Astyanax mexicanus: one gene and its partner. The protein of the gene in region 2 interacts with the protein of the main gene of each other region in a biochemical or structural test. Links are inferred from orthologs where the notes say so. Each region holds a gene or a part of one and is shown on either strand. Other genes may lie near its edges. The genes, in order: grap2a and gab1.

The links.
Region 1: the proteins of gab1 (region 2) and grap2a form a complex in vitro, tested with the Homo sapiens proteins (2 studies listed by BioGRID and IntAct, with this or other methods). The link is inferred for Astyanax mexicanus from reciprocal best matches to the Homo sapiens genes GAB1 and GRAP2.

Annotation. Positions count from the first base shown.
Region 1 is NC_064426.1:7,147,776-7,160,694, reverse strand, and holds the start of grap2a (GRB2-related adapter protein 2a), read right to left. Parts: upstream 5,978-12,919; 5' UTR 5,855-5,977; intron 1-5,854. UniProt on the Homo sapiens protein: Interacts with SLP-76 to regulate NF-AT activation. Binds to tyrosine-phosphorylated shc.
Region 2 is NC_064414.1:48,869,327-48,881,587, reverse strand, and holds the start of gab1 (GRB2-associated-binding protein 1), read right to left. Parts: upstream 4,895-12,261; 5' UTR 4,396-4,894; intron 3,040-4,395; 5' UTR 2,979-3,039; coding exon 2,907-2,978; intron 1-2,906. UniProt on the Homo sapiens protein: Adapter protein that plays a role in intracellular signaling cascades triggered by activated receptor-type kinases. Plays a role in FGFR1 signaling. Probably involved in signaling by the epidermal growth factor receptor (EGFR) and the insulin receptor (INSR).

The DNA of each region.
Region 1 (12,919 bases), on a different chromosome or scaffold from region 2:
ACAAGCTAATGCATGAAGGTGAAAATCATGGCTCGTACATCATGTGTGATTAGCACCATTTGGCTATGTTCAGACTGCCAGCCCAAATCTGATTTTTGCCATATCTAGATGGCTGTACGGCCAGAAACAACATGCCATCCCTTTTTTTTTGTATTATTTTTTTTTTTTTTGCAAATCTGATCCTAACCACATTTTGTGGTGGTTTAAAATGCGATTGCAATTGTGATTTGTACAAATGTGTCTCAATCTGGACAATGACTGTCTGAAACTCAATGATTTATCGAATCCAGAGTGACGGTGTCAGTCTGTCTGTCCTGGACTCTAGCTCTTGCTTTAAAGACTACATTTTCTTGTGTGCACCTGCGCTCTATCCTCCGGATCACGTGACTGTTCCAATTGCCATTTCCTGTTTCCCCTTGTATAAATACCCCTCAGTTTCTGTTCCTCGTTGCAGAGTACTGAACCTATTTTCATAACTCTTTCTATCTATCGCGTTCTTTCTATCTTCTTTTGGTGTAGACCCTGCTTTGTTTTTTTTACTCTTCCTTTGCCTTGTGTTCTTGCTCTGTTTTGGACCTCCCGTATATGACCTTTTAGTCTGCTTTCTCTGGTACATTGTTCATTGCTGCTCTATTTACCATGCCTGTCCCACATAACTCTTGTAATTTTTTTTATTAAATATTATTTAATATTTTTATCAATGATCTTACCGCCTCTACCTTAGTCTGCAAAATACACCTTAATGCAGATGATTCAATCTTATACTGCTCAGCAGATTCTGCACACACTGCTTTAAAAAAGCTTCAACGCTCTTTTAACACTCTACAGACTGCTCCATTAAAACACAAGTTGGTTTTAAATGCTAATAAACCAAATTCCATAACTATTACTACCCTGACATCCCTGAATCCAGCATCAAACAAGACAGTGAATATAAATGTCTCAGCACTGGCTTGATTAAAAACTTTCTTTTAAATCCCATACTAACAAACTCACCATTAAGTGCACACAAAGCTTGATTATCTTCATCAGAATTAATCCTGTTTATCCGTGCACACTAGGAAAAGAATAGTGGAGGCAACCATACTAGCAGTCCTGGACTATGGTGATGTAATTCATAAAAAATGTCTGCCAGTGCTTTCAAACCATTAGACTCAATCTACCTAAGATTCTGCTCTGAGATTTATTACCGGCAACCCTTACACTACTCACCACTGCTCACTATATAATAGAGTTGGTTGGTCCTCACTAACTGCACGCAGAGAATCTCATTGGCTAATTTTTATTTAGAAATCACTTTCTGCCTATTTGCCAGTTTATATATCTTCTCTAATCTCAATTAATAACAGTAATTATCAGACTCACTCCAGTGGCTGGATCACCTGTCACATACCAAGAGTTTTTAGTGAACTGGGAAAATTTTTGCTTTTAGCTACAGTGCACCAGTGAGCTAGAAATGTTGAAACTAAACTCGCTGGTGTCACTGAATAATTTTTAACTTTTTTTTTCTAAACACCACCAGAAAGCCTGGTGGTGACTGTTTAAATTATTATTTTTATTAGTTTATCTTTTTCTTATTATTAATTTTTCTTTATGTATTTTATTTATTTTAATTTAATTATTATTAGTTTTTACTTTATTTTTTTCTAATGTTTTATATTTCGATTCTTATATTATGTTACTTCATTATTGTTCATTTTATCATCTCTTATCATTCTTTAGTTTTTTTTTATTTCTTGTATTTTATAAATTCTTAACATTTTATGTGTCAATTTAGTTTTTTATGGTCTTTTAGAATGTTCTATTTTACATATATATTTTATGAATATATATATATATATATATATATATATATATATATATTAAATGTTGATTTAAAATGAGTATTTATTTTATTTATTATTTTTTACAATTTTATTCCTTATTTTTTTTAATTTCTTATTAAATGTTTTCAATCTCTTTGATGCTGTAAACGCTCGGCAACATTGTAAATGAGGGTCACCCTCAATGTTTTCCCGAGTGAAAATAAAGGTTGATCGCTTGATTGAGTAATTGATTGATTAAAGTTTTACCATTTTGCTCATAAACTTTACATTAAAAACCTGCGCATGTCTACGTCTCGTCTGGCCCGCGTGAGATACAGAGATGTTGGGGTTTAAGAAGCCAGCCACAGCTACCCATACAGACATTTTCTGTCATCTAAACAGATCCGATTTGAAAAACCGAATACGATTTGCTTAAAGCTTTAGTTACACTTGTCTACTAAAGAGTTTAAAGTGTGCGCACCCAAACCTCACCCTGATTCTGGATTGTGGTTTGTCTTTCCTCAAACGTTCTTGGCAAAAAATTACCCACTGCTGACTAGGGACACTCCAGAACCCCACCCCAGAAATGTTCTGACCCAGTTTTCTGGGTATAAAAACCTGACCCTGACCAACACTGCTCAGGTCTTCACACCTGCAATCTGATATTCAGCAGCATGCACACGTTTCAGTGACCCCTGATCCAATGACCTTTTACTGTCAGTAGAAAAATGAATCGATCTCTGAAATAAAATAATTAAAATAGCAAAAAAGAAAAGAGGCCAAAAGCAAACGTTTGCATGTTCAGTTCATAAAAAACACTTTGGAACGAAATTGTATTCTCACGGTCCAGTTACACCCAAAGAGCAATTGTTAAAATAGATAAATATAAAGATAAAATAAAATAGAATAGAATAGAATAAAATATAGTAGAGAAGTAGCAGCAACATTACGTTCAGAGTGTAAGTTTTGCTGTAGCATCATGGATACGTAAGTGTGAATGAAAAGCATAAACACAATAAAGTGATAATGTATCTTTGTGCGGGTAAAGTGACAGGATTAGTTTTTAAATATGTAATTGTCCTTGAAAGTGTCAGTGCAGTGTACTTACTGACTAGGTGGCAGAGGCGTGCAGACATAGACATCAACTCTGCCCTTTATTAACCAAAGTGTCCTTTTGAAACTTTGTTTAAAAAAAAAAAAAAAAAAAAAAAAAATATATATATATATATATATATATATTATTAAGTGATCTTTTTAATAAATGATCTTTTGAAAACCTGAGCGATTAAAAACGAGTGAAAACAGAATGCCCTGAAATCAGCTCGCACACTCCCGACCTCTCTCTTCCTCTGTCACGTGACCCCGGGCCGTCGCGCGCAAGGCACACTAGATGCGCTGCAGCAGCAGTTCAGTTCAGCGAGTCTTCAGCACAGTACGCACAGCAACAGATAACAACAGCTTCTTCTCCTCCGTGTCCCACCAGCCAGGTAACATACACATCAAGTAAAATCCTACCGTTTGCCCTCTAAGCCCAACGTGAAATCAGTTTGTTGTGCAGTAAAATGTCTCATACAGCACCAAACTACTAAGCATCTTTAACCGACTGGTCACCAGATAAACTAGCCGCTCTAGCCCAAATCAATGATAGATAACTTTTATTTTAATGAAGTGTTCCACATGAGCTAAAAAGTGCCCTTTTTCCCTCCTGAGCACTTGCCCCCCAAAGTGTCTGTGCACGCCACTGCTAGGTGGAGTTTAAGTGTCAATAGACTGCAATATGCTGCTAAAAAATACAAAATAAAACTGTAATTTTGTGGCAGCAGCCGTGTCGGACATTGTCTCTGAAAACTGGCAACTATTTAGTCATTTTATTTCAAACTTTTATAAAAATACATGTAAGAAATCTGCATTTTCTGTTATCAGGAGTGCCAGTCACTTTTATAGACATGTTTTATAGACATTTTTAGGACTTCCTGTTGCCAAAAATGACTATTATTGTACATTTATTTTTGATTATTGGGGCAAAGTGTTCTTGTGCATTGTAACTGCTTCAATAGTGATGATGGCATATCAGCATAACAAAAATATGTTTATGTAAAATTACAGAAACTGCTAAAACTTATCATCTAAAAGCGTATTTAGTTTTTAAAGAATTGTATAGTAAATAATATATAACAAATAGATTTTCTTTTATTTTGACAGTATACTTTTGATTTATTTATTTTAAATGAAAATTCTCTGAGAGTTTGAGTCTTGGTCTTTCAGATTTTAACCTAACCAAGCATCACAAACTGAGGAATTAGCTAACGAAAATTAAATGATATTCTTACAGTTTAGCCATCTCCTGATCTGGCACTATTTATTTGAACACGTGGAAACTGAGGCCTTGCAGACAGTTCTGAGGTAGTCTGACATTTCTTGACATTTTTGAATATTGCTCCAACCTTGTAGTTCCCAAACTGCTATACGTGCTTTTATTCAGCAGAAGGTAATCCAAAAGAGTTAAAAAAAGTGTCATTAATCAGTTTTTTAAAATTAAGTCTACTTTAAACACAGACCTTGCAAAATAAAATTGTTAAAGGTGCTGATGTAATGTAAAAAAAAAAAAAGCTAAGACTTTTGAGCTCTGACTCCGATTAATTTTGGATCAGGCAGCTGGATTTAGGGTGTGTCTGTGTGTCCTTGGTATCGAGAGGGCACAAAAAAATACATCTTGCACCTCACGCCTTGTCATGGGTTGTCACGCCAATTAATCATGGATTTGTTTTGTGCCCTAACTAACATTCAACTACATGTTTATTAAATGCAAATGAACTAAAAGGGGAAAGTAAATGATTCTCTATTAAATATAACCCTACATTCAGCTCTAATCCAATATTTTAGCATTGGGTTTAGGGTTAGATTTTAAGCTTAGGTTAAGGGTAGGGTTAGGGTTAGGTGTAGGGTTAGATTTTAGGGTTGAATAAGGGTTAAGGTTAGGGTTAGGTGTAGGGTTAGATTTTAGGGTTGATCAAGGCTTAAGGTTAGGTGTAGGGTTCGATTTTAGGGTTGATTAAGGCTTAAGGTAAGGGTTAGGTGTAGGGTTAGATTTTAAGCTTAGGTTAAGGTTAGGGTTAGGTGTATGGTTAGATTTTAGGGTTGATTAAGGGTTAAGGTTAGGGTTAGGTGTAGGGTTAGATTTTAAGGGGTTTATTAATGGTTAGGGTTAGGTGTAGGGTTAGATTTTAAGGGGTTTATTAATGGTTAGGGTTAGGTGTAGGGTTAGATTTTAAGGGGTTTATTAATGGTTAGGGTTAGGTGTAGGGTTAGATTTTAGGGTTGATTAAGGGTTAAGGTTAGGGTTAGGTGTAGGGTTAGATTTTAAGGGGTTTATTAATGGTTAGGGTTAGGTGTAGGGTTAGATTTTAAGGGGTTTATTAATGGTTAGGGTTAGGTGTAGGGTTAGATTTTAGGGTTGATTAAGGGTTAAGGTTAGGGTTAGGTGTAGGGTTAGATTTTAGGGTTGATTAAGGGTTAAGGTTAGGGTTAGGTGTAGGGTTAGATTTTAAGGGGTTTATTAATGGTTAGGGTTAGGTGTAGGGTTAGATTTTAAGGGGTTTATTAATGGTTAGGGTTAGGTGTAGGGTTAGATTTTAGGGTTGATTAAGGGTTAAGGTTAGGGTTAGGTGTAGGGTTAGATTTTAGGGTTGATTAAGGGTTAAGGTTAGGGTTAGATGTAGGGTTAAGTTCTATTTTGAATGATTTACATTTAACATAGGGTTAAGTTCAATTTAAAGGACATTCAATTCAGTGTTAGTTGAATGTCAGTTGAGCATCAACAAGGCTGTAAGATGGACCATCCAAGTAAAGTGTGACCCAAATTTCACTAAGAAAAACCTTACTCATGGCACAACTTCAACTGCACAACTAACTCTGATGTTATATTACTCAATTCAGCCAAGTATGTTCACTGTAAATGAACATTTTACTTGTTTTTCATTGCTAACAATAAAACTCCCAAAAAAAAAAACACAGTTCGTCACCTTGCAGGAAAGAGATACAGAACCTACCCTGGTGTTTTTGGGTTCGCAGAGCAATCCGAGCCTTGTTTTTTTTTTTTTGCGTAGCTCCTCTCCAGCCAGCAGCAGCCTCCTTCCTCAAATGTCAGTGCTGTTGAGTTTAGCTTCCTTCCAGGACACGGTATTCAACCCCAGAGCCAAAATGCAGAAGTGAGAGGCAGAACAAGCAAACCATTCAACTTATCTCACCGTCCAACATCAACTTTCAGTGCCTGCTTATACATCAGACTCAATACGTGCTACGGCTATTTTCATAAAAGCATTCTGCCACCGTCTAAATATACCGTTCATATATATATGTATCGATTCACTGCAGGGTTTGGGGGTCTTTTGTGGTTTGTGAGTTTCGGTTGTTGTTATATGTGATGCTAATTCTGTTCATGATGAAATGTTCACATGGTTTACAGTGCAGTAGGGGCTTTCACATGGTATAAGATACTGTACATAAAATTAACAATAAATTAAAACAAACAAAAAAAAAAGCCCTATGATTTACTATTGTAGTGCTGATATCACTTAAGAAGTGTTACAGCTCTGGAAAAAATTAAGAGAGCACTTCAGTTTCTGAATCAGTTTCTCTGATTTTGCTATTTACAGGTTTATGTTTGAGTAAAATTAACATTGTTGCTTTACTCTATAAACTACAGACAACATTTCTCCCAAATTACAAATAGAAATATTCTCATTTAGAGCATTTATTTGCAGAAAATGGGAAATGGATGAAATAACAAAAAAGATGCAGAGCTTTCAGACTTCATTTCAATTCAAAGAAAACAAGATCATATTCATAAAGTTTTAAGAGTCCAGAAATAATAAATATTTGGTGGAATAACCCTGGTTTTTGATCTCAGTTTTCATGCATATTGGCATATTCTGGCATGATCTCCTCCACCAGTCTTACACACTGCTTTTGGATAACTTTATGCTACTCACTCCTGATGCAAAAATTCAAGCAGTTCAGCTTGGTGGTTTGATGGCTTGTGATCATCCATCTCCCTCTTGATTATATTCCAGAGGTTTTCAATTTGGTAAAATCAAAGAGAATCATCATTTTTAGGTGGTCTCTTTTTTCAGAGCTCTATATATAAAAGAACAGTCATATGATAGGCATGTACTTCTCGTACACAAAGAAGCAATAACTCTTATTGTTTATTTGAGAGTAATTACACAAACAAAAAAATAGTTGCACCCACATGGAAGGGTCACATTGCAATTTTATTCAAAAGAAAAATAAAGGTTATGAGAAGCGATAAATTATTAACAATTTACACTGATATGGACAAAATTTATTGTAGTACATATACAGATGTAGTGCCCTATTTTAGTGATCTACAGTACACTGGTCAATTGCGGATCACGCAGCTGGATTTAGGGGCGTGTCAGTTTGTCTTTGGTATTGTGAGGGTGCAAAAAATGTGTGTACTAATTCTCTTAACCAATCATGTGTGTATTTTAAGCTTAACGTGAAATAAACCAATCAATATGACACTTACCATTACCTTTAAGAGGCAGGTGAGCTCTGACTTTGGCACGTTCGTATCTTAACAGCACAGCACTTTTTGCGTCTCAGCAGGGGATACTGATCTGCATGTTCATGCTTTTTTTCACGCATTTAAGAGAACAGCAATATTATTTTATACTTTATTCTGTTTATCGTTGAGTTAAAAGTCAGGTTTGAGCTCTGCACTGCGTCTCTGTGTGTGTGTTTAGTGAGCGGGCTTGTATAGGAATGGACTCTGATGATTGACTGTTGTCTAGGTTCATTTCAGTCAGTGGCGCTCCTATGTTTTCTGCCATCCAAATAGCAACAAGCTATACATTTTCCTGAACACAACTCACTTCCAGACTATCACACCACACCATCAGTGTAGATTTGTTCCTAAGCTCAGACGCTATTTTATTGGTGGGAAAATAGACTGTTGACGGGGTGTTAGATAGCAAAGAGTATATGAATTGTAAATAAATAAATAAATAAATAATTAAAGGTACAGTACAGGCCAAAAGTTTGGACACACCTTCTCATTGAATGCATTTTCTTTATTTTCTAACTATTTACATTGTAGATTCTCACTGAAGGAATCAAAACTATGAATGAACACATGTGGAGTTTTATGTACTTAACAAATAATAAAAAAAAATGAGCTGTCCTCCACAGTCCTCGGACCTGAACCCAATCCAGATGGTTTGGGGTGAGCTGGAGCACAGAGTGAAGAAGGCAAAGGGGCAACAAGTGCTAATAAACACCTCTGGGAACCTCTGGCCACCTCTTGAAGCTCATTGAGAGAATGATGCCAAGAGTGTACAAAGCAGTAATCAGAGCAAAGGGTGGCTATTTTGAAGAAACTAGAAAATAACTTTTTTTTGTTAAGTACATAAAACTCCACATGTGTTCATTCATAGTTTTGATGCTTCAGTGAGAATCTACAATGTAAATAGTCATGAAAATAAAGAAAACGCACTGAAAAAGAGAAGGTGTGTCCAAACTTTTGGCCTGTACTGTATGCTTAAAAAAATGGCTTCTATCTGTTTTTGCAAATTAACTGTTCATATACAGTACCAGTCAAAAGTTTGGACACACCTTATTATTCAATATTTCTATTGGTTTAATATGCTTAATGTTCAATTTGTAAATGAACACTGAAATCATCCAGACTATGAAGGAACACATATGGAATCATGTAGTAAGTTAAAAGTGTTAAATAAACCAAAATACTCTCTATTTAGCATTTAGGTTCTTTTATCTGGGGAGCTGTTAACTTGTGGGTTCTGAGGCTGGTAACTCACTCACTGATGAACTAATCCTGTGCAACAGAGCAAACTCTTGCTCTTCCTTTCCAGGGATGGGGGGTCCTGATAAGAGCCAGTTTCATCATAACATTTTTGATGGTCTCTGCAACTGACTGACCTTCATTTCTTAAAGTCATTTTTTAAAGTCTTTACTTAGTTGATTAATTCCTGCCATTAATTTTTTAATAACATTACTCAAATAGAGCTATTCACTGTATTATTCACCAAATCTACCTCTTCACAACTTTACAGCTGATGCACTTAAACACATTAGGAGAGCAAAAAAATTAAGATATTCCAGGTGACTCTATACCTCATGAAGCTAACTGAGAAAATACCAAGATGTGCAAAACTGCCATTGTAGTAAGCCGGAGTAAGCTATCTAAAATATAAAATATTTCCTTTTTTGTTAATTAAATAATTCCATATGTTTCTCTTCATAGTTTGGATGAAGTTAGTATTGATCTACAGATCCCTTAAATTTAAGGTGTTTCCAAACTGTATACACTGTAAACCCATAAGCTGTTTGAACTCAAATGATTTAAGTCTGTTTTACATAAAATTGGAGATTTCTAAACAATACTCAACTATTTTGAGTTAGTTGAATGTTTGAGAGCACATATACTGTACTATTCAAACTGAGATATTTGAGTTGAACCAACTTACAGTCATATGAAAAAGTTTGGACACCCCTATTAATCTTAATCATTTTTAGTCGCCTGAGGTGTGCTTTTGCTTTTGCTTTTGCATACCTCAGGCGACTCTGTTTGTGGCGTGCTTGCAGAAATGGCTTCTTTCGCATCACTCTCCCATACAGCTTCTCCTTGTGCAAAGTGCACTGTATTGAGACCACTTTTTTTTTTACTGCACATTTTCTGTTAGTACAATAAACCTCATTTCAATCCTGAAATATTACTGTGTCCATCAGTTGTTAGATATATCAAACTGAAATGGCTGTTGCAAACACCCAAATATTTACAACTAAAAATGATTAAGATTAATAGGGGTGCCCAAACTTTTTCATATGACTGTATCATATCTGAGCTTAGTCTGTTGCTATTGGCAGCTTCTTTTCCATTGGCTTCTGTCACAATCTATTTGCATACTGGGTGTGTCCAACAGTTTCCGACAAAACACTCACCATCAGTGTGTAGTGATTCCATCCCCTGGGCTTCCTTAGAAATAAATGAACTTCCCCTTTAGTGGTAATAACTTGATTTTTTATTTAAGTTAACTCAAGTTTTCATCCCCCATTGCTTAAAAAAAACAAATTGACAAACCTTAGAAGCAAGCCTTAAAAAGTGAAGTAAACTGAACTTATCCGGTCTTACAGTATAACTAAAATAAAAAAGTTGTAATAACTTAATGTTTTGAGTTATGCTAACTTAAGTTTTCATTCCCCATTACTTAACTAATTATTAACCCTTGTGTGGTGTTTTTATTTTTCATCAAATGATACTAAAAAAATATTTTTTCTAACTCAAACTCATTGGCTCATGTTTTGTGAAAAACATATATCAAAACACATTTTCGATAAACACACACTGTACACCCCCACCCCCCCCCCCCCTACACATTTATATTACATACAGTATGTTTGGCCAAGGGTTAATAAACATTGCTTCATTTGTAAATTTGAAACTAAACAAATTTTCTACTTATATCTTGAGTTTAATTCATTTTCTTTTACATTTTATTAAAAAACTAATAAAAAGAAATTGAAAAGAAATGTAACATAAGAAAGGTAAAGGGCAAATATTAACCATGTAAGCTGTTTATATTGCTTGCAATTTAGGTGAAGCGAGCATATGTAAAGCATTTTAATGTAAAATTGCTTAATTTTGCTGAATTAAATACAAGTAACAAAGTAAACGAGTAACAAAAATATGAACACCACACAAGGGTTAAGGCAACCAGTTTCCTAATTTTTTTTAAGTAAACTCAACTTATCCAGGCTTACAGTGCACCAGCTTAAAAAGCCTGTGTTAGATTGCAGAGTCAGGCTTCATAAGGAAAATCTGTGAAATTCTTCTTTCTAAGTGAATATGAATAAGGAACCACAGTGGTCGTCTGGTTTCTGTTCTATACCATGATTCATTTCTGAGTATCAGGGTGTCTTTAAGAGAGCTCAGCACTTTCTGTTAGTTGTTAAGTGAAAGGATGGGATAAGGTGCCCTATGTGCTCCAAAAGTCAAATGAAAAGGTTGGAGGAAAACATGGTTTTGACTTTTAAATGAGAGAACATGATGAGCTGTGATTAATAGGACCGGGGCAGGAATTAACGAGGTACACAAGGTCAGATTTAAATTTCAGGTTGACTTTAAAAAAAAAAAAAAATATTAAGATCTGTTTATTTAAAAAAAAAATACATATTAGAGATGATTTCAATAAGAAGGATAAAAAATCAATTGCACTACACACAGCAGAAAAAAATATTTAATGGATATTTAATATGCTAATGATACGTTATGCTTCTCTGTAACACCACATACATAAATTACAAGTTGGTTGTGCTACGCTAATTATAAGGGGCCGGTCAAAACCAAAAACGCCAGGTCCGATTTTTTTCCCCAGTCCAGCCCTGACTGGGTCCTTTAATAAATGGAGATATTTGCTGCTTGTGGCTCTACCTTTTCTGAGTACACACTTCAATGCACTATTCCAACAGGACAATGCTCGACCATATACTGTTGGACTCTAAAGACTGTGTTCCAAAGTCTAGGCTGGAGCCAAGTTAGGCTGCATTTCTTTGGCCACTACATCATAAAAGACTGTTCCAAACTGAAGGATCCTTTATATAATTTAATTTCATGTAAATTTAAGCAACTTTAACTCGGTTTCAAGACTTAAATGTCACACAGAGTAAATAAGTGAACTGAACTTCAGTCAATCCTTTCTTTTAGCAAACTTTACTTCATTTCTGCATACAATATTACCTAATTACAATTACTTAAAGTATACAATATTATTATACATAATTTTAGTTAAAACACACATTCAAATATTTACATAATCTCAAAGATTTATTTTGTAAACAGACCAAGTCTCACCGTCTCCACACATGGATGGCATGTAATACATTATTTTTAGTATACTAAAAATATATAAAGTATACTAAAAATGTATTACATGCCATCCATGTGTGGAGACGGTGAGACTTGGTCTGTTTACAAAATAAATCTTTGAGATTATGTAAATATTTGAATGTGTGTTTTAACTAAAATTATGTACAATAATATTGTATACTTTAAGTAGTTGTAATTAGGTACTATTGTATGCAGAAATGAAGTAAAGTTTGCTAAAAGAAAGAATTGATTTTGCAAAAATAAATGAAGTTTAATTAAAGTAAGGATTGACTGAAGTTTAGTTCACTTATTTACTCTGTCTAACATTTAAGTATTGAAACTGAGTTGAAGTTACTTAAATTTATCTAAAATTAAACTTACTTAAAAAAAGCAAATGCAGGAAGTTGCAAAACCTTTTTTTTAAGTCAATTTTACGCATCATTTTTTTTTTAAGTGTAGTAGTAATTTTGACGGCGCAATGGATGTATTAATCAAAACTATATTGTGTCATGTCCTACACATCTAGAAAACCTGGTGTAATGGTGTGAGGTGCAGTTTTGCACAACTGCAGATCATGCTTAGTTTTCGTTACACTTTGACAGCCTAGTGGTACATTAATAAGGTCCTGCAACCAGTAGCCCTCCTACCTTTTTTAAATACAAACTTCAGTGCACTATTTCAACAAGACAATGCCTGTCCACATACTGCCGTCATCTCAAGAGCTTGTCAAGCTTGATTTTTAGACTACTTTGTTTTAATCAATGAAAATGAAAGTGACCATCAAAACCAGAAAATAAGGAGATTCTCCAGAAGCGAAAGTGACCATGAATGAAAATAACATGAACCTGAGAACGAGAATGACAAAATCTGATGAGGAAACTGATACTGAAAACCATACGAGAGACAGGAGGAGATCAAAATCTGTTATATAACTCATGCCAGTGGTTTTCAACCCAGTGGTCTGTGGCCCACTTACTGATATGGGACTGTTGGCAAAAAAAATAAAAAATCTTCTTATTTTTTGTTTTGCATATTTAGGATGTAACGGATATGGTTTGAAAATTATTTTCTAAAATAAAAGATTAAACTCTTATCATTAAAAAATACAGGAGTTGGACAATGAAACTGAAACACCTGTCATTTTAGTGTGGGAGGTTTCATGGCTAAATTGGAGCAGCCTGGTGTTCAATCTTCATTAATTGCA
Region 2 (12,261 bases):
TCCGCAGAGATACTGGTGCCAGCTCTCACAGAAAAAGCCAAGAGGCCCACAGCAAGGGGATATGCTCCCTATTCCATCCAGAGCAAAGCAATGCAGGTGCTAGCATGGGTCGGGTGAACCGGTTCTGATAAACAAGAACCGCATTTGCTTATCTGCCTTACATCTGCAAACCACCAAGGCAAGAAACTGAAAGTGATGAGGCGGTAAAGAGCCCAAAGTTTTAAAAAACATAGTGGCTTATATTTTGCAATAACTCAAAAATCAACACATTTTCTAGGGATGTCTCAACCCATTTTTTTTGGACAATGCTGATCCGACCTTTTAGTATCTATAAACAATACATCCACGCAGTTTAGATAAGATAAATAGTGATTAACATTGAAGTAAAATAACTTTTAGTGATTATTTTAAGCAATAGTTTATGTGTATAATTAAGAGTTTAATGTGACAGTCTGGACTGTTTGTTTAGTAACAAACTTTTCTTAAAAATTACAATTTTATAATGTGTTTAATATCTAATAATTTAATCTGACTAAATATTAAAACATGCCTTGATCGGTCCTAGTCAGAATCAGGACATCTCCAACAATTACATGCATATAAGCAGTAAACAGTAGTTTAGTTCACCTAGTCATGGTGAAGTTATAATCAGTGGCATCTTTTTCACTGAAGGGTCGGACAGCCGTTCTTGTGATTTCATTTTCCTCTCAGAAACAGAGCTTACAAACCAGACTGAACCCAGTTTTCTAAGCATGGTTAGCTTATCATGTCATGCCATATCATAATTACAGTGGATAAAAGAAATCCAATAAAAAAACAACGCTTGTGCCTACAAGAGGTCAGCAGCATATTTGGCTGAGGCTTGACAGCAGGGTGAGCCACGAGTGATTTCATTACAGATTAAAAAGGAGGTATATTACATCCTGCAACTTATGGAGGACCGTTGACCCGTTCAGTGTTATTAAACAGATGTTTCTAAGCATCTAACCGTCTTCTCACTGCTAAAACAGTGGCATAACCACTCAGAAGTTCAACTTCTGCTTTTAATACTTCAAAGCTGGAGTCTTTTGTAACACAGCTGACATTTTCCCAGAACAAGCATAAATAGTGCACTGCTGACGCTGAAGATTTCAACCATTTCTCCTGACGCTGGACTATTTATGCCCCTTTTAATGGAAGATCTTAGTTTTGATATGCTTTCTTTTAGCATGAGGTTTGCCCTACTCTACCACCAAGCAAGCCCACTGAGTCCGTAAAGTATTATAGTAATAAAAATAATAATAACATTTAGACATTCATGCAGTTTAACAAATTGTTCTATTAGTTAAATACATTTTCCCTCAATGTAAAACACTGTTCCTTCAATACAGAAATCAAATTTAAAAATCGGTTTAAACATCAATTTCATCAATTGAATAAACAGCTTTTCTCAGTGTACATATTGCTAAAATAATGGAACGGATTGCTAAATTGAAGGAACAGATTATAAAATTAAGGGAATATATTGCTAAACCAACTGAACAATTTGCTAAACTGATGAAACGAATTGCTAAACCGAAGGATCGGATTGCTAAACTGATGGAACAAATTGCTAAACCGAAGTAACAGTTTGCTAATCCGTAGGAACAGATTATTAAATTGAGGGAAAAGATTGCTAAAACGAGGGAATGGATTGCTAAATTGAAGAAACAGATTGCTAAACCAAGAGTGGATTGCTGGGGCACCGAGTGGTCCAGCGGTCTAAAGCTATGAGCAGGAGGTCGAAGGTTCGAGCCCCCACTCATGCAGCTTTGCCATCAAGTTGCCAAGAGCTCAGAGGGAGCAAAATTTAGATCGCTAAATTGAAGGAACAGATTTTGAAATTGAGGGAATAGATTGCTAAACCGAAGGAACGGATTATAAAATTAAGGGAATAGATTGCTAAACTTATTAAACAAATTGCTAAACAGAAGGATCGATTTGCTAAACCGAAGGAACAGTTTGCTAAACCGAAGGAACATATTGCTAAACCCAAAAGAACAGATTGCTAAACTGAAGGAATGGATTGCTAAATTGAAGGAACAGATTATAAAATTGGGGGAATAGGTTGCTAAACCGAAGAAACAGATTGCTAAACCGAAGGAGTGGATGCCTAAATTAAAGGAACATATTTTAAAATTAAGGGAATAGATTGTTAAACCGAAGAAACAGATTGCTAAATTGAAGGAACAGATTTTAAAATTAAGGGAATAGATTGTTAAACCGAAGAAACAGATTGCTAAACCAAAGGAACAGATTATAAAATTGAGGGAATAGATTGCTAAACCGAAGGAATGGATTGCTAAACCGATGGAACGGATTCTTAATCTGAGAGACCAGATTTTTAAAGTAAGGTTTTTTTTTTTGTTTTTTTGTTTTTTCTACCTGGATATATCAGGGGCACTCTACAAGTCAAATGTGCTCTTTTAAAGCAAGAATAAGACAAATACACCAGCTTTTACCACAAACAGAGAGTCTAGCCTACATGAGGAGGAGGTGTGGGTAGAAATGAAGGCATGACTGCACGAAATATAGACTTTAGTGTCACACTAATTGTGTGTTTGGATGCTGTGAGTGTTGTGAGTGAGTGAGGGAGGAGAAAACAGCAGCACATGCTAAAAAAAAAAATACTGAAACATCTAGCTAAAATATTGACAAGTAAACATGTCAGCACACACCCAGGACAGGTTTAGGGGAATGTAGCAGAAGTTAACCTGGTGCCAGATTCACTAATTTCCCCTCTCAGGTAGCTGGTTGAGCTCGTTTTCACGAAAGAGCAGGCTTTATCTGCTCTAGCTGTTAGAAAGCAGGTTATTTGCATGGGTACTGGCTTTGTGGTCAGCCCCCACAGACCACAGCACATTTGAATAAAACTGAGATTTACTTACATAACGCCGTAACTTCTTCTCTGGTGGAGACTTTCTGAGCCAGCCGGAGCACACCACATCCCCCCCACTCATTTTGTTGCTGCAGAAAGCTTCCCCTTTCTGTCCCTCGAAGAGATCTGGGACGCAGATTGAGCTGAAAAAAGGAGAAACACAGTGGTGGGTGAAGGGTCAGTGTAATGTTTATCAGTTCAATTTCCTGATCATATGAGATTCCCTAGAAAATAGGAAATTGTGTGTAAAATGTATTTTTTTTGTTCATTTAGTATAGTGAAGAAGAAATTCTTCTTCTGATTTTTTTTTCCATTGTGTACAAATGTCTGGATTATACTGTAGCTGGGAGGTTGGGGACTGCAACGCAGACAATAGTCACAGTATCATGATATCATAGTTATTGGGGTACACATAGCAAAAACTTTAAAATGAATGAACATTAGGGATGCACAATGATATAAGAATTATATCAGTATTACTGTATGCCGGAAAAAGACCAAGTGAACCTGACTGCACTACTACAAACTAAAATCCATTAATTTAAGCTAATTTGTATTTATTCATTTTTTTTACATTTCATCACCTCAGTTGATCAAACCATTTGATTCTACCCCTTTAGGATAATGTCAGAAGTGTATGCCTAAGCAAAATGTGACATATTGTTGCAATTTTAATAGCTTTCCAAGATGGAGCTACCTTCACTGAAATTTACTTCTTACGAATAAACATAAATTATAATGCAAAAGAAATATGCAAAGAAAACAAGTTGATATTTATAAAATTAAGAGTTTAGAAATAAATATTTGTTGGAATAAGCCTGTTTTTAATTACAGTTTTTTTATGCATCTTGGCGTGTTCTCCTCAATCAGTCTTACACACTGCTTTTGGATAACTTTATGCCTTTACTCCTGGTCCAAAAAGTCAAGCAGTTCAGCTGGGTTTGATGGCTTGTGACCAAAATGTGTTCTCAATGGGGTAAAATTAAAGAAATTCAATATTTTTAAGTGGTCTCTTGCTTTTCCCCCCCCAGAGCTGTATATATAGGACTATATGATTGTTTATGGTTGATTCTAACGTTACTGCTCATTTTTAAATAGTCATAACAACTGATGAAAAAGGTCTCTTGGCTTTAGTGTTAGCTGAATAACTTAAACTGAATTAAAATTAGTTTATGAGGCGATTATTTTAGGAACGTATCGATGTGTGATATCGGGTATCGGTATCCCAGAATTTTCACATCAGTACACCTTTAACCCAATTTCTTCTCTTTACCAAACTAAGTTAGCTAACCTAGCTAGCTAGAAAAATGGAAATTAGCTGCATAGCTTATAAAGTTGTACAGTCTCAAACAACATAAACATAGGTAGTTTGTTTATTTTTTCTGGTCATATGGTCAAAAAACGGACCTAGTAACACCTAATAAACGATATCCTCGTGGTTTATAAGCAGTGTAGAAAGTTTAGAGGGGAATAAGAGAGAAAAACAGGGCAGAAAATACCGTCAGTGCTGAGCTTCTCCCAGCGTCTCCTCCTCCTCCAGCAGCTCAGCCACAACAGCCAAAACTCTCAGCTACCAACTCCTTCCTCTCGCTGGGAAGACTCAAATCCGCGTTAAAACACAGAATAAATCCAGAACATACGCGTGGAAATAAACTCCAGGCTTAATTACCGAGAAAAATCCGCACTTTTCGCCTCCAAACACACGAACACTCCTCCGCCTGCTTAATCCAGCAACTTCTCCCGGGCTGTTCCAGCTCTCCCGGGCTGTTCCAGCTCTCCCTCTCTTTCTCTCTTAAAAACTACACATTTCCACACATTCCCGCCGCTTTTCCTCTCTTCTCCAGCACATTTCAGCCGCCCAGACTCTCTCCGTCCGCAGTTTGAGCAGAAAATCCTCCTTTTCCGTCGTGTTTTCCCTCCCCGCTCCGCTCCCGGGTGACTGACAGCCGATAACCGCCGATACTTTTCCCCTAAACTCGCCTCGAACTCCAGCGAGAGCGCGAGCGAACGAGCGAACGAGCGCGCGAGAGAGAGAGAGAGAGAGAGAGCGAGACAGGGAGAGAGAGAGAGAGAAGGGAAGCAATGCACCATGGGAAATGTAGTCTTTAAGCGATAGACAATACACAATACACGCAGTACAATACACGTTTTAACTCAACTAAACAAAAAATGTGAAACGTTATTTTATATTTATTTATCTTTAGATAACAATGCAACAATCACTGACGAAAAAAGAACTGAAAAAAATATTAAAACCAGGTGATTTTTGAGAAGCGTTTTCATCATTCCCGTGTAAACTACACTTACCAGAATCCATCTTGTACATGAATCCTAGTAGGTAAATTGATTTTTTAAAATTTGCATTATTTATTATTAATATTTTAATGGCTATATTTATAAAAGTTAACGTTTACGTCTAATATTATTAAATCTACTAACTTACTATATGTGTGGATGTTTAAGATATATTAGGTGTTTTGTGTGAAGACAAATGCTAAGAGGGACAGTAGTTCACACTAATTCACTCTAACAAAAAAAAACATTCATATATTTGTGTTTTGATAGAAAATCTTTAGTTTTTGTCCACTCAGATTCCTATGTCCAATCTATTTGTATAGTGTAGGGAGGAAAAATGCACATTTTCTATCTCCAGTATTTTTACACTTTTTCTCTTTTGTTGTATACATTGATATGTGTATATTTGTCGATTTGTAAATTATTGTGTGTATATGCTTGCACTTTTTGTATTAAGTGAGATATTTTTATTTATAGTTGATGGTATTATTATAGTCAATACTGTAATTTTCAATATATGGTTTACTGCTCTCTTTTCTGCAGCATTTAAAATGCACATTCACTCTTTTTTTATAAAAACTAGAAAAAGACACAGATACACATAGAACTCTGTAACTATAAAAAGTAGAAGTCTTTATTTAGAGAATTTACAGATGAAGCCAGAGAGCGGTGAATACTGTTTCCTACACCTTTAAAAGACACCTTTAAAAGACTCCTGGAGAAACTGGAGAAAATGGGTACAGTAAGAGTCAGGTCTAGCTGACCCACATGGCAACCGCGCCTTTAACACAGCTTAATATTGGACTAAGTCTCAGTTTCAGCAGTGAGGAGAAGAGAACAATAGGGGTGTTCTAAAACTTTTGACCTTTTTTTCATAGGACCTTCCTCCTTCTGTATATGTTTATGAATATTTTGTGTATATTTACTACATTTCCTGTTTTATTTAGTATGTTTACTCCTGTTTATTTGTGTAAGCCTGCTGCAGAGTAGTTACCCTAAGCCTCACCACAAGCAAACAATGCATGTATGTCCTGACATATTGTGCAAATAACAAATAAACACTGAATCTTGAAACACAAAACACTAAATCCACTATGCTATGCATGCTTTTATATCCATATACACTATACAGAGTACTGAAATACATAACTGTGCTAATTTTAGAGTCAATTGTGTATAACGTGTTCCTGATCCTGTGCTGCACAGTCTCTTCCAGTGTTTTCCCTCCAGCTCTCTCTTCCCTCAGTCAGAGAGACTGGTATGGCAGGAATGCTGTTGTAATGGGAAACGCCTTCTCCAATCAGCTCCACTAACAAAGGCCTGCCTGCTCACACACACACACACACACACACACAGCTCCAGGAAAGCAGGCCGCTCTCTGAAGCTCTGAGCTGAGGAGCATTGCTCAGCAGATCCCTTTGTGTTTACGAATCTTTCAGTGCAGATTAGCTATTCATCATGTGGTAGACTGTGTTAGAACTAGAGTAGAGGATTTGCACACTTAATTTAGTTACATTTACATGTCTTTCGTTGAAGAAAGTGTGACCAAGTCTGCTCTGTTTGCAGATTCAGCAGATAGGCTTTAGTTAATGACATTAGCAGTGCAAATAACATAAGTTTACACTGTCTACTGGAACCAGTTCTACACATGCAATATTCATCAATATTTTCCTGTTTTCTTGTTTTTCAATTCAAATCAATATACGTTTATTGTCATTACACAGTGTAACAAAATTAAAATTAGGTAGAGAGTTTATACTTTTCTATAGAATGAAGCAACAAATATTGCAGATAAGGATAGAGACATTTCGGTCTCTGTGTGCTAAGAGAGTGTGTGTGAAGAGTGTCGAGAGTGTTGGGTGTGTGGTAGTGGGGGGTTGTGGGGGCTGAGGGGTTCAGCTCCGTCTCTGTGAGTTGAGGAGTCTGACTGCCTGGTAGATGAAGCTGTTGCAGAGTCTGGTAGTGGAGGCTCTGTGTGTTGAGGAGTCTGACTGCCTGGTGGATGAAGCTGTTGCAGAGTCTGGTAGTGGAGACTCTGTGTGTTGAGAAGTCTGACCGCCTGGTGGATGAAGCTGTTGCAGAGTCTGGTAGTGGAGGCTCTTTGTGTTGAGGAGTCTGACTGCCTGGTGGATGAAGCTGTTGCAGAGTCTGGTAGTGGAGGCTCTGTGTGTTGAGGAGTCTGACCGCCTAGTGGAAGAAGCTGTTGTAGACTCTGGTAAAGGAGGCTCTGTGTGTTGAGGAGTCTGGCTGCCTGGTGGAAGAAGCTGTTGTAGACTCTGGTAGTGGAGGCTCTGTGTGTTGAGGAGTCTGACTGCCTGGTGGATGCAGCTGTTGCAGAGTCTAGTAGTGGAGTCTCTGTGTGTTGAGTAGTCTGACTGCCTGGTGGAAGAAGCTGTTGCAGAGTCTGGTAGTGGAGGCTGTGTGTGTTGAGGAGTCTGACTGCCTGGTGGAAGAAGCTGTTGCAGAGTCTGGTAGTGGAGGCTCTGTGTGTTGCGGATTGGTGGGGTCGTTTTTGAATAGATTATTGAAATCAACCAAACTAAACACAGCTTTATAATAATGTAATATAACACTAACTCTAGTTGCTCTAATTTCTCTCTAGATACTTTATAAGGCATAAAATGAACAGGGAATAAGCCCAGCTTGAATGCACTTTGAAATAAGCAAAAAAATATATATGTTTTTACAAATTGCATCAATCTTTTACTTTTAAAAAATGAGGTAAATCTCATTTTTTCTGATATAGGTCTTTTAAGAGTTGTTTTTGATACAAAACAAGCTACAGACAGATCCTAAACTCACAGGAGAGAGATTGAATTAGAGCCTTTGCTTTGCTGAGTCCATTTCTGAGGGAAAGGTCCGGGGGTTCAAGCTTCTGCGAAAGATTAAAACATTTATGAGGGACGCATTAAATCCAGTGGCATTTTATACGGCATGCAGGGACGCGTACGCAGGAAAGAGCAGCCAATCTCAAACTGCTAGTGCTGCGCACTAAGACTGGCAGGGCATTAGCTGCATATTATGAAGGGCTATGTTATTTTGTCCTCATTACTCTTAGTTAGTGTACAGTTTAGTGTACAACTGTTCTGCTGCAGACTCACATTTAAAGTGACATTCTGTAAGTTTTTGTTTTACCTCTCTGGTGAGAATGAGTAATGGCACAGAGCATGAAAAAGAGCATGTTTAATGCAGATGTCAAAATGCGAAGACTTCCTTTGCTTCCTTCACTTTAAAATAAAGGAAACAGCTCAATGTAGGATATACAGTACATGCCTTTTAAATACCTAGAAGATGTTAAAATTCGAAAAGTACTGATATTTACTGAGTGACTATGTGATCAGTTGAGTTTGTGCACTTTTGGAGACACAACACAAGTAGAGTGTAAACTGTATAAGTTATCCCAGTATATGTATATATATGTATATATATATATATATATATATATATATATATATATATATATATATATACATATATATATATATATATATAAATATACTGATATTTACTGAGTGACTATTTGATCAGTTGAGTTTTTGCACTTTTGGAGACACAACACAAGTAGAGTGTAAACTGTATAAGTTATCCCAGTATATAAATATATATATATATATATATATATATATATATATATATATATATATATATATATATATATATATACAATTTTACATACAATTAGATTGTTGATTATACTGATTAATCATTGGATGCTTATTTCCAATGCAGTAATACTACTGCTTTAAATTTAATGCATATTAAACTATCTGATTATTAGTGCTCAACACTCATCTGAATTGCAATGCAATGCTTACAAGCCTTCCAGAGCATCCCTCACTATCTTTAATAAACTCCTGAAGACAGAGCTCTTCAAAGAGCACTTACTCTCCTAACACCTCTAACTAACTACCTTCTACTACCAGATCAGGAGAATCTCTCACTATCTTCAATAAACTCCTGAAGACTGAGCTCTTCAAAGAGCACTTACTCTCCTAACACCTCTAACACACTACTACTAACCTCATTTCCTTTTTCCTCGCCTTTCCTTCTCTATCTTACTATTGTCAAAAAATATTTTTACCTTGAACTTCTATGTTCTCTATTGCTAATTTACATCATTATTGTAAGTCACTTTGGACAAAAGCACCCGCTTAATTTAATGTAATGTAAAGTAATGTAATGTAATGAAGCCAATAGCAGATGTCTGTTATTATAACAGGCCCAAAAAGGGAGGAGGCACAGAAACAGCTTCAGATTTCTCACCACCTCCTACTTTCTCCCTCGGCTGGATTAATGTAGGTTAGTGGGAGTGGGCCAGAGTGTTGATGTGTCCTTGTGAAATGGCTGTGAGAAAACGCTTGGTTCTCGGTTGCTGAATAATTGAAAGCCATTGATTTTACCAAATGGTCTTGGAGGCAGCGCGAGTGGCGCTACTCCACAGCACACGTTGCAAAGCTAATGGGCTTTTGGGGGTGGATTTAAGAGCTAAAACGATGCCCACCCCTCCCTTTAAAAACCACAAGACTGGCTTCGGTGCATTATACATATGAGCATCTCCATTAAGAAATGCACCTTCAGAGCACTCAGCTTCTATTTAGAGCGAATGGGGAAGTTCCAGGCCCGAGCCTCGAGGCAGCGACACTGCACGCCGCTCTGCCCGCCTGGGCTAGGGTTCATCTCAGGACACAAGGGCAGTGACTCAATTAGAGAGATTGGCAGAGGGCAGACTGCTTCTCCAGGCTGCTTGATGCATATAAAAGGTCTTTATATATACACTATATGGACAAAAGGACACCTGCTCAGTAATTGTTTCTGTTGAAATTAAGCAATTTTAAAGAGTTCACCTTCTTTTGCTGGAGCAACTGTCTCTATTGTTCCAGAAAACCTTTCTTTCTGGTAGATTGTTCAAGTTCAACTGATGTAAGGGTTTAATTGTATTTGGTGACAAGACTATTAGTGAGGTTAGGATGTTGGATGATCACTATCCTGCCTCATTCCCAACTCCCCAACTCCTCCATTCCAAAAGTACTAGATGGATCAGTCTAGAGAACACTTTATCCCCTCTCCCCTCTTTATTCTTTTGAAAATTGTCCTTACAGTGACTAGATAAGCAGTGTGTGTTTTTACATTTGTACCAGGACTGTTTTAAGGCATTTGGGGGCCCCAAGCAGAATTGAATTGAGTTTTGGTGTGCTGTTTCCATGATTTGAAAGTGAAACTAATGTCAGTTAATCAGTAGCTTTATCCATTCAAGTGTTAAAGACAATGATGTTAAAGCAGGTGTGCATAGATACTGCTAAACATGTTCCAGTCTGGTTGTATGCTACTGTCAGCAATTAGTGGGAGGGGCCCCTTGAGTTGGATTCTGATAACAGTGTGGTTGTAATTTTCTGCATTGACCAGAACAGAATTTACAGAACAGAACTCTTCAATTCATAACCAGTTTCAATTCTGAAAGAGCTCTATACAGCAACGCTGACACTGATAATAACATTTGATTCCTATCGTCACTGTCCGATGAAAAACAAGTATCTCCATTTTTGTTAATTTTTAGATTACTACATATTTTTTAACAAACCAATTGTCCCTTGTACTGTGTTAAAATTGGTTGATATATGGACCAATAGAATTTCTTCAAAATTACCTGAAATAAACTTTTTACATGGACTTCCATTAAAAGTTAAGGTTTTCTCTCTCTCTCTTCTGTATAGTTGTAGATGTTTTGGAGATACTTGTTTTTCAGTGGACAGTGACAATATGAATCAGTGTTATCCTTGCTGTATGGAGCTCTTTCAGAGCACACTCAGTGCTGGTCCTGAACTCCAGGATTGAGAACCGCTGGTTCAAGCAAAAGCTTCTGCTACATGAAAAAGGAACAAATATCAAAATTGAATTTCTCTTCCTTTATTCTGAAGCAAATCCCATTTGTTATGAACCCAGACTGCTGAAATTACACAGGGCTATCTGAGGTTAAGAAAAAAATAGCTTTGCTTTCCACACGTCCTCACCACAATTACCCCAAACATTTCAGTTATCCAGGTCCCAGAGCTCCACAGCTGGATGCACTATACCCACTGGTGGTGGTGGATAATGACAGTCTTTTCAAGCTCAAGCCATAAGCAATATCATTTAAAACACTACAGAAAACCTTAAACAATGAATTCTGAACAGTAGCTGCTTCACATCTTAACAGTTCTGACCCGTTTATTGTTTATTTGAGTGGCAACTCAGCGAGTTAAAGCAAAAATTAACTTATGGATTCTTATATTCATCTTATATCTGAATAAGACAAGAATCAGGTTGCAGGAGATGCTCCATTAGATGCTCTGAATAATTAGCAGCACAGTAGAAAAGTGTTACAGTCAGTTATCCATATGTATCCATATTTATAAAGCAGCTCACAGCAAAATCAGTCCCACTTTATTTCATATTAGACCTTCATTAGGATGAAAAAGGCAAAAAAAAAAAAAAAAGAAACACACCCACTGCAGCACTCTTACTTTGGCAAGTCTGATAAATTAATTGACATTATGGCCCACTGTCTGCATGATAAGTCAGACAAAGTCCATTAGAAGCACTTTAAAATCATATATACTGTGCATATACCCCTGTACATACTGTGTAATGAATCAGACATTGCTTCTTGGTGAAGGTTTTCTATTGTTAATCAAATATTAACACTGTACAGCAAGCACAAGGCTTATGTTTCTTGTTTAATCCAGTCAAATCATCCTGTAAAACCTTTAACTGTGTATCAAAAGGCACACAAAAATCTTAGATCTTAAAACCAGAGGGAAGAAAAAAAAACACTCCCTGAAATAATTTAATTCAAACAAATAATATAATATAAAAACAGCAATATTTTTATATTTGTAATAAATCACCTCAAAAACAAGAAAAAAAATCAATCAGTTCAAATTTTCAGCATGCATTTTTTTTCAGTTCTTTCAAGTTTTTTTTGTCAAAAAAATCTATTCACAACAGTGAATACAGTGGGAACTAAATTCAGTATTGCATCCTTATGTGTAAATTTATTGCATCGCCATGTCAAATGACATATCTGTGGGCAT